2 linked regions of the Canis lupus familiaris genome follow. The protein of the gene in region 2 purifies or fractionates together with the protein of the main gene of each other region. This does not show direct contact. Links are inferred from orthologs where the notes say so. Each region holds a gene or a part of one and is shown on either strand. Other genes may lie near its edges.

What was found. Proteins that work in one complex are often made in the same cells at the same time.
Region 1: the proteins of DNMBP (region 2) and DNM2 purify together in Homo sapiens (co-immunoprecipitation; 3 studies listed by BioGRID and IntAct, with this or other methods). This does not show direct contact. The link is inferred for Canis lupus familiaris from reciprocal best matches to the Homo sapiens genes DNMBP and DNM2.

Annotation. Positions count from the first base shown.
Region 1 is NC_049241.1:50,882,514-50,889,871, forward strand, and holds the start of DNM2 (dynamin-2), read right to left. Parts: upstream 4,258-7,358; 5' UTR 4,116-4,257; coding exon 3,955-4,115; intron 1-3,954. Other genes in the region: QTRT1 (queuine tRNA-ribosyltransferase catalytic subunit 1), read right to left, coding at 6,572-6,724, 6,839-6,926, 7,012-7,121, 7,245-7,320. UniProt on the Homo sapiens protein: Catalyzes the hydrolysis of GTP and utilizes this energy to mediate vesicle scission at plasma membrane during endocytosis and filament remodeling at many actin structures during organization of the actin cytoskeleton.
Region 2 is NC_049249.1:12,996,498-13,003,280, forward strand, and holds part of DNMBP (dynamin-binding protein), read right to left. Parts: intron 3,116-6,783; coding exon 1,103-3,115; intron 1-1,102. UniProt on the Homo sapiens protein: Plays a critical role as a guanine nucleotide exchange factor (GEF) for CDC42 in several intracellular processes associated with the actin and microtubule cytoskeleton.

The DNA.
Region 1 (7,358 bases), on a different chromosome or scaffold from region 2:
CCTCAACTCTCCTGCTATACTGGCCTGCAGGCACATGCCCACCTCAGGGCCTTTGCACTTGCTCTTCCCACAGCCTGAAATGCTCTCCCCTCCCCCCACACCTCAACAAATCTTCACTGGTGGCTCCTCCCTTACCTCCTTAAGCCTCTGCTCAAATGTCACTTTCCCAAGGAGTGCCCTCAACTGTCTCCCTATTTAAGACCCTAACTTCCCCTTGCCCTGCTCTTCTTTTCCTAAGTTATCATTTTTCCAACCTGTTTCTTCCTTATCTACCAGCCCTTGCTGGAAGGCTGCCTCCCCCCAGGGCAGGGGTTTTGGTATCTTACTTAGGGCTGTGTCCACAACAGCCCCATAATAGGGCCAGGCACAGAGTACACGTGCTCAGAAGACATTCTGCAATGAACAAATGAAAACTACAGAGCGTTTTAAGCACTTTGCTAGACACTCTCCCAGACATGTAGTCCTCACTCCATCATCAACAGCAGGCATCAGGTGACTTTATCTGCCCTAAGAGCTGAAACACACACGTCCTACCACCTCAAAGGGGCCCGAGTAGATCCAGTTAACAGCCCCATTCCCTAGTTGGGGCTACTGAGGCTCAGAGGAGGAATGTCTCACAGGATCAAGCCCAGCCCTATGGGATTCTGGGCTGGAAGCCTAAACTTCAGCTTCCTCCTCTGCTTCTCCTAATGAAAAATTTCCCCAGCTCCTCCCTCCATTTGGCTGCTGAGGCTAAAAGACCAGAGTCACTGGAGAGCCACATCTTTCCCCCTCCTCCTTAGAGCCACATGCTGGTACCGAGTGGACAAGCCAAGGGTTTTAAATTCAGGTTTCCAGGGCCAAGAGTCTCCAAGCAAATGTAAACTGAGGCTGGGAGAGTACTAGGGAGTAGTGAGGAGTGTGGCAGCTCACGTGGCCACTCCTCGTCTGACCTGGAAGCCAGTGGCTGCTGCTTCTGAGATCCAAAGACTTGGTGCCAACCAAGACTTGGGCCCAGGGAGGCCAGAATATGATTATAACGACAATTATAAATTGTCGGAGGGGATTAAAAAAAATGGCCATGGGGATAGAGTCAATGCACTCGACGCCCATTAACTCAAGCAGTCCCCCTGGGGAGGGTCTAGCTATTACCCCATTTTATAGAAAAGGAACCTGAGTCCACCTAGCCAAAGTCACACAACCAAACATGCTGGAGCCAGACCGAAGGCCTGGAGCCCACGTATTACAGCACTAAATTCTAGAAAGACCTGTGAGTGTCTGCTAAGCACTGCCAAAATCTGAATTTTGATGTGAAACTTAACTACTGGCAGTTAATTAAAAACAAAAGATTTTATAAATGCTGTGCAGGTGAAACAAAAGACCAGCAAGCAGGCCTCGGCACCCCAGGGCTGCCAATCTGCCACCACTGGTATAGGCTGAGCTAACTGGGCCATCCTCACTTGGACCACATTCTTAGAAAACCAACAAGAAAGAGGCAATGAAGCAGAGCAGCCCGTGCTGAGCCCCAGGCACAGGCCCTCGACATGCGCTCTCATTTGTCCCTTGAAACTAGCCAAGATGTCCACTGTAAAGGTCCAGAGTGCAAAGAAGCAAACAGGTCCTCATTCAAAATGAGGCCCGCCTGCCACCCCCTACGGCAGGGCTTGGTAGCTAAGAGACCTTACCCACACTCCAGAAATAAAAAGAAGATAGCTCTGTTTGAGCAACCCATACCCGAGAAGCCTTTTTTTACAAGTCTGGTTCTCAGGCCCTGAACTAATGCTCTTAACGACCAAGGTCACATTGCAGGCTTTCTGGGAGGAGGTTGCCACAGGAGCCAGCTCAGTAGATGACTGCGTGGGTGGGTGGGTAAGAGAGAAAGGCGAGCGCCAGACAGACTGAGGACAGGGGAAAGAAACCCCAGCCCCCCACCACCTAGAGCCCTGAATTCCTCACCGAATGGCCTTGAGCAAGAGTGCTCAGTTGAGCCTCGGTTTTCTGCTCTGTAAAATGGGGTCAAAGCAGAGTCCGCCTCATAAGACTTAAATACAGTCCAGCATGTAACTCAAAAGCACTTTCATCCTGATTAGTTTTTGCTGCTGACATGAGAACAGCATGGTGAATAACAGCCCGTCCATGTCAACCTACTGTGTGCCACACACTGTGTTAAGTAAGCACTTCCAACATATCAGGTCCCTGCACCATGGCAACAGTCTTGTCGCCATGATGAAGGGGAAACTGAAGTTTAGAGAGGCCAAACTACCTGTGCAAGGTCACAAGGCAAATGAAATGGACAGAACTTTGCTGTGTGCCCACTGAAAGCCTGGGCAGGCAAGAAGATAACCATGCAAACGGGACCCACAGCCCAGCCCAAGGCTCAGGCCAGGCGCAGCTGACCCCAAGTCCACACCTTTCCGCCACACTGGACAACAGGCAAGGCGCCAGAGACAAAGCAGCAAAGGAGGAAATTCGTGCCGCTGAGAGCAAAACTTCAGGCCTCTGGGAAGGCAAGGCGGGGCTGGGCACCCAGCTGGGTTCCACTAAGTGCTAGCCTGGTGCTCTTGGGCCAAGGATGAGTCTTTTCTGAGCTTCCCTGCTTGTATGTAAGGTGGGGTTAACAGAACCTCCACCTCACTCTGTGGGGTTTAAGATGCTGACAAAAGAACTCAGCCTGGGGCCTGCCAGATGAACATTACCCCTCAACACCAATAACAGCCACAGTAATAATAACGATGACTGTGATGTTATCACTTGGCAGCCACAGGCACAAATGGAGTCTGTCCCAGAATGGAGAAGTGACAGCCCATCTGGGAGGCAGAAGGGCAGACTGGGGGGAAGGGAGAGGAAAGAACCAAACACCCCTGGAAGCCACACATTTTCATTCATCAGCTTCCTGAATCCTGGAAACCACCCAATGAGTGGAGTTTGCCCACCGGACAGATGGGCAAACTGAGGCTTCTCAGAGCTACCCAAAAGCCTGATCAGGCTCCAACAGACAGCCGCCAATTTGCAGGTTTTCGCTTGGGAGCTGGCCCCTGTGTTCTGGGGCCCCAGAACACTCTAAGGGTCAGGAAAGAATCCAGCAGAAAGTTCCTCCCAGGATCCTATTTCCAACTGATACAGAAATTCAAGTTTCATCCCTCAGCTCCCTTGTCCACTGCATGCTCCCCCTACCCACTACTGCAGGGGTAGGGCCAGACAGCCAGGGACTGCCAGCGCACTGAAGGGCAGGCAGTGACAAGGCTCGACACCTCTACAGACAGAAGAAAGGATCAATTTGGGCCAGAAGTCAGTATTTGCAAGGGACCAAGCTTTAGAGTCAGCCTAAGAGAACCAGACAACAGAGACCCTAGGGTCCAGCCAGCCAGCCAGACTGCAGAAGCCAGCCAGCGTAACCCAACAGAGGTACGGCTAAGTGTGAAAGTCTGCGAGGCGGCCAGACAGCACAGGTCGCCCTAGACAGCTAGCCAGGCGGCGGGGGGCTGCCCGGAGGGACTGGACAGATGGACAGCCAAATGGTGGCGGCAAGGAGTTCCATCCAGGACAGAGCGACGGCCAACCAGACGGCAGGGGCTGCTCCAGAGAAGTGAACAGCCAGCCAGACCACAGGGGTCGAACCAATAGGTATCTGGCTGGCAGGGTTCGGACAGACAGGGAAGAGGGACTTGACCCTGACCCCCCGATGGTAGAGCTCGGCCGTGGAAAGCTGGGCACAGAGGAGTCGGCGACGGTCCACCGCACTTCCTGGCCCACGCCCCCCGGCCGGTGAGACGCCCCGAGGGCCCGAGCCGGCTCCCCAGCCCGGCAGGAAGCCCTCCGCCCGGGGCGTCCCACAGAGCCCGCCTCCCCGTCCCCGTCCCCGTCGCGGGCACGCAAGCGCCGCAGTTACGCCGGCTGCGCAGGGCGCGCCATTCCCGGTCCGCCCTCCGCGCCCTAGGCCGCCGCCCGCCCGCCGTCGCCGCCGCGCTCGCTCACCGGCCTACGAAGTTCTCGAGCACCGAGCTCTTGCCGGCGCTCTGGCCGCCCACCACGGCGATCTGCGGCAGGTCCAGGTGGCAGCTCTGGCCGATGGAGCTGAAAGCGTCCTGCAGCTTGTTGACCAGCGGGATCAGCTCTTCCATCCCGCGGTTGCCCATGGCGCCGGCGGCCCCGGCCCGAGCGCCCCGCGCTCCCCGCCTGCCCCCGGCCCTTAACGACGCGGCCCCGCGGCGTCCGCGGCCGTTGCTCCCCGCCCGCCCGGGCCTCGGCGCGACGCCCGCTCCCGGCTCGGCCTCACAGTCGCCGCCTCATCCGGTTCTCAGACGACACCCGACCCGAGCGACCTCCCGCCCGGGCCCCGGGGCTGCGCCCAAAGCCCTCATGCCGCCCCCGATTGGCCGGCCCCGCTGCCACTCGTACCCAGGAGCCAATGAAAGAGAGGCATAGGTCTCCGGTTGAGTAGACCTTCCCCCTGGGGACCTCCCGGCGGGCGCATTGGACGCCAGAACTGTCGTTTCTGCGCAAGAGCCAATAGCGTGGGGCAGCGAGTTGTCAAGGCCAGGAGGCGGTGTTTCGGGAAAAGGCACTGTTGGCCCCGCCCATCTTGGGGAGGTCCCTGACGGCAAGAAAACCTAAGTCTCATTGGCAGGAAGACGGGCCAGTCAACAGTGCGGGCCAATGACGTTAGGGATCGATTCATAGACTCTGGTTTGTCACTTGATACTACCTAGTTCCCTAAGAATTTCCCATTGGCTTATATAAATATCACTCCGTTCCTCCAACCAACAAAGCCAAAGAGGACGGGCGTTGACCTCCGAATCCTGACTTTGATTGAGAACTTAGCTGTCAATCAAAGAATCTCCCGTTCTTGTGATTGTTGTAGGTCTATTAGAGTCTTCTGGAGTAAAGAAGGGCCACGGTACTCAAAGAAGGGCGACACCTCGTGGTGGGACCTGGTAATGATAATCGCTTCTGCGTTTCCGGCCTCTAGAGAAAACTACAAGTCCCAGAACGCATCTCGGCCCCGGGCTTGCAAACCAACTCTTCGCGCGGGGTTGCAATACACTTTGAAGATTAATCGGGCGTTAGTGGTTCCTAGGGAGAGGCGGGCTGGCGCTGCATCCTTGTCTCTCCCTTTTATTCCTATAAAGTCCCACCTTCATGCTTTTACAAATTTTGTGCCCTTTCCTAGGAACACCCTCCGCTCACGCCACGACTTGACTCGGCTAACAGCTGCAACGTTGTTCCCCTACCTCTTCAACTTGAGCGCATCGTGACCTCTTGGAGCACCCAATGAAACTCAACGGATCCTCTCCCCTTGAAAAGATACTATTTTGCAGTGTTGGAACTAGGAATCTTGACCTCGTGGGAAAAAAGCCTGAGATAGGTGGAAGGATTTTATGAGAAGTGATTTGATCCCCTGGGCGTGGATTGGCCAGAGAAGCAGCCCAATAAGGAGTCAGATGCCATGGAGGTAGGGAAGTGGGCCGTATGGGGCAGTATGGGGCAGTATCGGAGGAATAGAGAAATAGTGGGGAGGAGGACGGCAGAGTGGCCCATGGTATATGCCTGCTCCAAGACCTAAAACCCCGATTGCAGAGAGATGGGCAAAAAAGTCAACCGAGACAAGGCGTGGCATTGCAGCCTTCACCACGGCAACCTGGAAACACCCTAGAAGCTCCTTCTCTGAGCTGGTTAAATAAATACTGTGCAAGAACTGTAAGAAACACAGGAAGTCTTCATGTTCCGACATGTTAACAATTTGAAATATACTGAGAGAAAAAAAAAGATACAGAACCACTCGTAAAGGAGGCCCACATTCATGAAAAATATATACACATGGAAAACCTCTGAGAGAATACACACATTGATGAAAGTAGTTGCATTTTTATGCTATTGGAATAGTGGATCCTACTTTTGGATTACTTTCTCAATATAAAAACCCTTATCTTCTCAGAGCAGCAGCTCTGTAATTGGCCATATCTAGGTTAAGTCATGCGCCTATTTGCTCATGTCATTCCTCTAAACCTGTCTCCTTATCTGTAAAATGGGGAATGCAGCTACACGTGCATCATAGGGTGGCAAGAACTAAACACAGACAACAGCCATTTAGAACAGTACCAGGCACAGTGTAAGCACCGGCTGGATCACACCTACCGTCCTCACCATGTTTACTGACAGCAAAATTGTGCCACAAGTCAAGAGTCAAGGCTAAGAGCATGAGCACTGGAGCCAGGCTACTACTTCTCAGTGGTGACCCTGGGGAAGCTATTTCCCTCTATGCCTGTTTCCTCACTTTTGAAAAGTGGGGGAACAAGAGGTGCCCCTCTCAGGACAGCTGGAGGCCTTGAGCCAGAGGAAAAAGGATGCAGCTCCCACACTGTGGCGCATCCTCTATGCTGGGCTGAGCCAGGTAGTTTCCAGATATCAGCTGCTGCTGTGGTTACTTATTATTATCAACAAGGGGAGGGAACACTGGCCACAGAGACACTCAGAGGAAGAAGAGGACTGAGACAGGCCACCTTCCCAAGAAGGCACAGATAGTCTAAGTTAGAATAATAATTTTTTAAAAATCCTTCCAATACCTCCTGTTCCCTCCCTCCCCCAAGCCAGATCAACGCAGTGTGATTCCCACAGAGGCCAGGGCTTCAGTGGCCCAGGTGGGACAGAGGGTGGGGTCCCCATACATGGTGCCCATGAAGTCCCGCACGAAGTCAGGGAAGCGCTTCTCCACAATGCTGGCACGCACAGCACTCATCAGCTGCAGCTGCAGGGGGTAGGCGTCAGCCAAGGTCTCAGCCAAGGGGCCCCAGAATCCTCCCCCATGACCACCACCTCCTCCCCCAACACCATGCCTGGCCCACCCTGGCCGTAGGCCCACCTGGTAGGCAATATTGTGGACAGTGAGGTGGTGCAGGGCAGCAGTGTTGTCACTGTGGAGCAGTGCGTGCAGGAAGGCCCGGCTGTGCCTGTGGACAGGAGGTGAGGCTCAGCCATGCAGAGTCCTGCACCCCTCCACACCCTCTCCCAGCCCCCAGGCCCATCTTCCCCTACTTCTGGCAGGTGGGACAGGTACAGTTGGAGTCTATGGGTCGGAAGTCCTTCTCATACTGCTTCTTCTTCAGCTGCAGGTTCCCGGTGGGCACCAAAGCGGAGCCAAAGCGCTGGGGGAAGGGTGGAGGAAGGGAAGATGGGTCAACCAGATCTTCATGCTCACTGGCCCCACCCCCACTTTGCCCACCCCTGCAACACCCCCTGCCCCGTCTGCCCCCTGCCCAGGGCCTCACCGCAGTCCTTGTGGGAAAGACGCAGTCGAACATGTCACATCCAAGAGCCACGCAGACCACCAGATCAGTGGCATAGCTGGGGGCAGGGTCATGGAGGGGAGGGAGCAGAGAACC
Region 2 (6,783 bases):
ACCTGTGCTCCCTTGTAGAGCAGTCCTCTCCTGAGCATATTCAGATAGAAGTCTCCTCTCTGTAGTACCATCTGCTTTCCATCTTCCAGAAAATGACTCAATTTCTGGCCTTCCCATAATATTCTTTCTCCTCGGAACTTATTTTCTCAGTCACGTTCAGCAGTCTGAAGTAGAGGGAAGGGAGTCCGTGTACCTGGCCCACCATTCTCCCGCCTTTATCCATTAGTATCCTGTAGGCCCTATGTCCACAGATTAGTCTGTAGTGTTTTCTGCCCTGATGACACATGGGCTCAGAGCTCTCTGGCATACCTGCCTAAAGTGACACGGCCATGTCGTCCTTGGGCCCTAGACTGCTGATGTTGCCTTGCTTTCTGCCTCTTCCTCCTCTAGAAATCATTTCTCATGTGAATCTGGTGAACGTGAATGGAGTCCCCTGAGGCTGGTGAGTCACCCCTCAGGTAAGGGACAGAAAATTTTTGAACACACAAGATGGAAAGCAGAAAACTATAGTAAAAACAGGAGCTCCCAGCTCCCTTGGTAAGCTACTCACTCTCTACAAATCTTATCTTCCTCATTTATCAAGCAGCTGTATGCATTACCCCAAGACATTTAGGGTGGCTGTGGATTATTTGTGCAAGCAAATGGTAACAAGTCCATATTATGAACAAGTTAATAATTGTTAACTCTTACAGTTACTATTGAAACCTAATCCTTAAACCACAAAGTTATAAGATGGAGTTTTTTCATGAATCTTAGCCTAGAAGTCTTTAATCCTTATTAGAGCCTGGTTAAAGAAGGTCATTATATTCAGGACCTCCCACATATAGGACTGCTACGGAGGCCTTAGCACCACAGGAGGTATAAATGTCAGAGGTCTCAGCTGCTCCATCTGAGCAGCAAGTGAAGTCAGGAGGCTACAGTTGTAAGATATATCAAAACAGAGCAGTCGAATTGGGAGACAGAGTAAGAAATTAGGTAATGAAAAAGCAACTCATTCTTTGTCAATCAAAGATGGTAACATCTCCCTGAAAAACATGGGGAGGCTGTTATGTGGACTTGTGGATGTCAAGGAATGTGTACCTCGTACTTCGTCGTCACTTACCTCTGAGTTGCTGGAGTTCCATATTCAAACTTTCAATGTTGCTCTCATAGAACTCAAGATCCTCAGGGGTCTCAGCCCTTAGAGATTCATCCTGCTTCTCCTCCAGTGTTAAGTTCGGCTCTTCTGGAGCTGGGCTACACATATCCAAGTCTTGTTCCATTTCCTGAATCCTCACCAATACGAGTGGACACTGGGAAGTCTGGTCCAAAGTCTGGTCCAGGTTCTCAGGGCCCTCCTTCTCTGGGGACTCACAGCTCTCATGGGTGAAGAGCCCGGGGGTCAAGAGCCCGGGGGTGACTGCAGTCACCCTGTGCTGTGCCGAGGGAGGCAGGGGAGCTGGGCGAGAGGGTCGCATTGCCAAGGGTGGTTCCGGCTTCAGGTTCTGGTCAAGAAGCACATGGGGGGAGGTGGATGCTGGAGTACTGGGACGCGGTGGTGGGGGCCTGAGGGCTCTTCTCCTCTCAGGCAGCTCCTGTGGGGTGATTGACTTTGAGGAACCTCGGACAATGTCCTTCTCAGAGTTAAAGTTCATGATTGAAAAGTGGCGCAAGATTGCCTCTGGTTCTGCACCGGGTCCTGACAGGCTCTTTTCAAACTCTACCAACTGTTGTGTCAACTTAGAATCCAGGTCAGTGTGGCCTCCTCCCTGCCCCAGTGCTATCAAGTCTGCTGTAAACGCCCTGTCTTGTAGACCGGCCTTCACTTCTGATCTCTCTGATGCAGAACAAAAGCTGGAGGCATTTTCTTTGGGTGTGTGGTACTTTTTAGCACCTCTAACCATGCTCTGGAGCTGAGAGCTCAGCAGGCTAGGTCTGACCACCCTAGGGGCCAAAGGACAAGAGCTACCGTGAGGAGATGGCACGGGCTTCTGAAAGGTTTTTGGTGGAGAGTACATTCCTCTGGGAGGCCGGCTGGAGTAGTCTTTCGCTTTGGCTTCTAAGGGAAGAGGGTCAGAGTACTGCTCTGTGCTTAGGTGGCCCCTTCCTGTTGTAGAATAATACTGGTTTTGCTGCCATCTGGGACGAAAAGGTACCTGAGATTGGGAGGAAACCCCGTTGATTGTCTCTGAAGGATCCTCTGCAGGAGAGTGTCTGGCAAGAGGCTGTTCATGGCCCCAGCCTGGGCTTCTTGGGGGCCCCCGTGAGGTGCCCTCATCCTGATGAGAGCTTTTGTGTACTTCACACTCAGAAGTCAGATGCTCCAGGGGAGAAGCAGATGTTTCAGAAATGACACAGTTGGACTTCTCTGCTTTATATTCAGGAGATTTGTGCCTTCCCTCCACCACTAAGGGGTTCTCTCGACAATCTAAGGAAGTGTCAGGGATTTCAGTAGGGCTGCTTTCCTTTGGCAGGTCCATGGTCTCCTCTGCTCTTGTTTTAGAAAACAGCTTCACAAATCGGTAAGGAAAGATGCCTGTCCTGCCCTTCAGTGATCCTTCTAGCCAGCCATCTTCCAGTGTCCCCAGAATTCGGATTTTATCACCTACCTCAAAATCCAACTCATTCGGCTCCAGGGCCTGGAATCTGTAGAGGGCAATTCCATAGGTCCCCGGCTGCTCCTCATCCTCCTCTGGCCCCCTCTCCTCTTCTCCTGTAGGGGTCTCTTCTTCACCATTAATAATGCAGTCATTGTGATTTCCAGAACTTACCAACTCATCCACAGTTCTAAGGGGCCCCAAAAGCTCTACAAACCCTTCTGGAAAAATGCCTCTTCGGCCCTCTAATTCCCCTTCAAACCAGCCTGGTTCAGGAACTCCAATGATGGTAATCACATCCCCTTCTCTGAAGTCCAGCTCCTCATCCAACTGGGCTGAAAGCCCCATCAGTGCCCGGGCTTGTCCCATTGAGTATTCTGGAATTTGGAGCAGGGCGCTCTGGGAGTGCCACCGCCGGCTCTGCGAGGAGAGGCAGAGCTCCCGCACACATGAGGATGGGAAGAAGCCGCGGGCACCCCAGCAGCTTCGGCCCTGCAGCCAGCTGGCAGTGGGAGCATCATCAAGAATCACCAGATCACCTGAAGAAAGAGAAGCAAAGATAATGACCTAAGTCATCTCCCGAGAAGAACATTACTGTAACTAAGAAAACAACTCATCATTTTTTTTTAAATTTTTATTTATTTATGATAGTCACACAGAGAGAGAGAGAGAGAGAGAGGCAGAGACATAGGCAGAGGGAGAAGCAGGCTCCATGCACTGGAGCCTGACGTGGGATTTGATCCTGAGTCTCCAGGATCGCGCCCTGGGCCAAAGGCAGGCGCTAAACCGCTGCGCCACCCAGGGATCCCAAAACAACTCATCATTTTAAACATCTATCAGATTCAGGAAAATGTACCTCTGGAGTTTTAAGGGCATAATACTTATCCTTTCAGAGAGTCTGGAAAGTCAAAACTATCATATTTTCTTCATACATTTTACATATACTTCAGTTAAAACAACAATATATCATAGCAGATTGAATATAAATACAAATATGAGAATCTAGCTCTCTTCTATTAAACCAAATTTGCAAAAATGTAAACCAATGATACTCTTCTCACTATATTTTGTTAGAAAACTGATTGTTTTTCATTAAAAATATGCTATTTATGTTAGTATATAATAGGTTTTAGGGGTGCCTGGGTGGCTCAGTGGCTGAGCATCTGCTTTTAGCTCAGGGCATGGTCCTGGGTTCCTGCGATGGAGTCCCGCATCAGGCTCCCTGTGGGGAGCTTCCTTCTCCCTCTGCCTATGTCTCTGCCTCTCTCTCTCTCTGTGTCTCTCATGAATAAATACACTCTTAAAAAATAGGTTTTAAAAAATGAATTGATAAATGTTTTAAAAATTTCTGTTTTAATAGCTCACATTGCAAATATCAACAGACCCACATAAGCAAGAGCTCTTTAGTGCCTCAATAACTTTTAAGAGTATAAAAGGCTCCTAGGACCAAGAAGTTTGAAAAATGCCACTATAAACAATGTTCTTACAGTCTATGCCATTGGATTAGTTTATAAATGATAAAGAATATACACGTGTCCACTAAAATCCTTTGTACAGATGCATCGGCTCTCTCATACTAACTGCTATCAGTAGCAAATATGAAACAATGAAAGAAATCTTCAGGAATGGTTTCTTTGATGGCAGTACAGGGTGTGGGCAACAAGCTCTTCATTTACTTCTTCCAGAAGCCGTTTTGAACTATCCTTACCCTGACGATACATCATAATGAAATCCTAAAAGCATGTTCTGGCAATCAGTACTTTTGTTTTTGAAAATAGTTCCAATGTCGATGTTTCAGGTTAACTTCACAAAAATGTAAGTTGACCAGTTAGTATCTATATTACTGTTGAATGAAGTAAGGTAAAGGAAGGATAGGGCACAGTGATTCTGGAAGAAAATGAAGTTAAAACTCAGTTTTAGAGGATTCCCCCCAACTTAAGGAACTACTCTATAGTTCTGTAATAAATTGTTTTATAACAAACGCTTAATTATCTGATGATGGATTGTTCATTTTGTGAATTATCAGTTTTAACCTTTTTTAAACTTCCTCAACACCTAGTCAACTTCACTTTCATCAGCAGAGGTGATCAAGGAATGGAATCAGCCCAAGGAAAATAAGACCAGGACAGCAGAGCACCTAATAAAGCCATGTAAGTCCTTTTATAGTCAAGCATATTTTGAAATTGGATTATCGTTTAGGGTATTAACTTGCATGCTCTTGATGTATAAACAAATCAAGTCTGTCCTATCTTCCCACCAAGTGAATCACATATTACTTAATGGCAGGTACCACTTATCTCGTGTATTTCCTGACTTGGATACAATGCCTTTCACATAGCAAGTGTTCCATGTCCATTTGATAACGACAATGATTCTCCAACTCCAAGTCCCAAATAAATTAATCACATCTTCCCTCCAAAACTGGCTCCAGGCTGCTAGCTTCCTCTTTCCCTTTAATATTTTCTTATATGCCTTAAAAAAAAAGATTTTATCTATTTGAGAATGAGCAAGGGAGAGAGAGAGAGCACACACGAGCACAAGCAGGGCAGAGAGGGGTGCAGAGGGAGAGGGAGAAGAAGAACCCCTTGCTGAGCAGGAGGCCCAAATTGGGGCTCATCCCAGGACTCAAAGATCATGATTTGTGCCCAAGGCAGACACTTAACTGACTGAGCCACCCGTTTCCTCTCCCTTTAATATCTTCTTGCAGAAATTGTTTCCACTCATTACTTGCTCTTGCTACCACGTAGTCCAACAATCATCATCTCACTCTCTTTTCTTTTCTTTTTTTAAAGATTTTATTTACTTATTCACGAGAGACACAGAGAGAGGCAGAGACACAGGCAGAGGGAGAAGCAGGATCCCTGTGGGGAGCCTGATGCAGAACTTGATCCCAGGACCCCGGGATCATGCCCTGAGCCAAAGGTAGATGCTCAACCACTGAGCCACCCAGGTGCCCCATCATCTCACTCTCTTACCTTGTCCCAGACTTTGTCTCTTCCAGTCTCTTCCAAATGATTTATGCCAAACTAAGCTGATCAATGTACCAAGCTTATCACATCCCTCTCCTGCTCAAACTTGTCCCACAAGGCATGAAAGCTTCTTCCTACTCTTATAGGATTCTTCTCTAAAAATCCTATTCTTATTATCTGAAATATATGTTTGCTCCAGACACTCTCTAAAGAGATTTAGTTAGTTTAGTAACTAAGTATCAGTCTAACCTGGGTATGTTTTTTTTTAATGTTTTTACCTCAGTGCAACCTGGCATCCACTACCTCTCACCCCCACCCCAGCCAGCCAATATTTCACCTATGAGACCCTATTCCACACAAGGGCATTTTCATTAGCTCCTACATAAGCCCGTCCATCTGAAACCCTAGCATACCTCTCCAAGACACCTTGGAAATCCACATTCATCTTGGTCATCTGTAGCCTACTAAAGAAATGATCGTTTACGTCATTAATTTTGGCACTTGTATTTTTATATACTATACAGCACATAATGTAAGCTTTTGCACTTGGTGGAAGGCAACCAATATGTTCTCACTGATTTGATATGTTTTGCTTAGATATTCTTGAAAAATAGGGTCTTGATTCTCTGTTTCTATATTCCTTTAGTTTATGACTCAATAGCGATTGGTTAGAGCTTGGAGTCCTGAGAATTATACAAGTGATTTTTCAACCCACTAACTCTAAGGCTATTCCATCAGAACCAGAGACAGAACTCATTGGAGACACAATAGGCACGATAGGCCTTTTGGTGAAGAAGAAGAATAAAAGGTGGCCACAAGTTCCACTTCACTGGCTTTTAAATGAACTGGCTTTCCTAAAGCTATAGGGTTATAATATTTTCCTTGCTTTGCCAGATCTCCAGAAAACCATCATACTAGGGCTTGCTTTTCCTATTTTCAGCTGGGCGATTGTTTTGATAAGCTTTATTACCTGGCAGACTGTTGGCTACTTCTATATAAAAACGTGAATTTAAAAAAAAAATCAGTTTAGATCCTGAAAAGCACCTGAGAGAGAATTTTGCTTAACACTTTTATTTTGTCGCTGAGTACCGAGGTTTTTTTTGGGGGTTTTTTTGTTTGTTTGTTTTTAAGATTTATTTATTTATTCAGAGAGAGAGGGAGAGAGAGGCAGAGACACAGGCAGAGGGAGAAGCAGGCTCCATTCAGGAAGCCTGACGCGGAACTCGATCCCAGGTCTC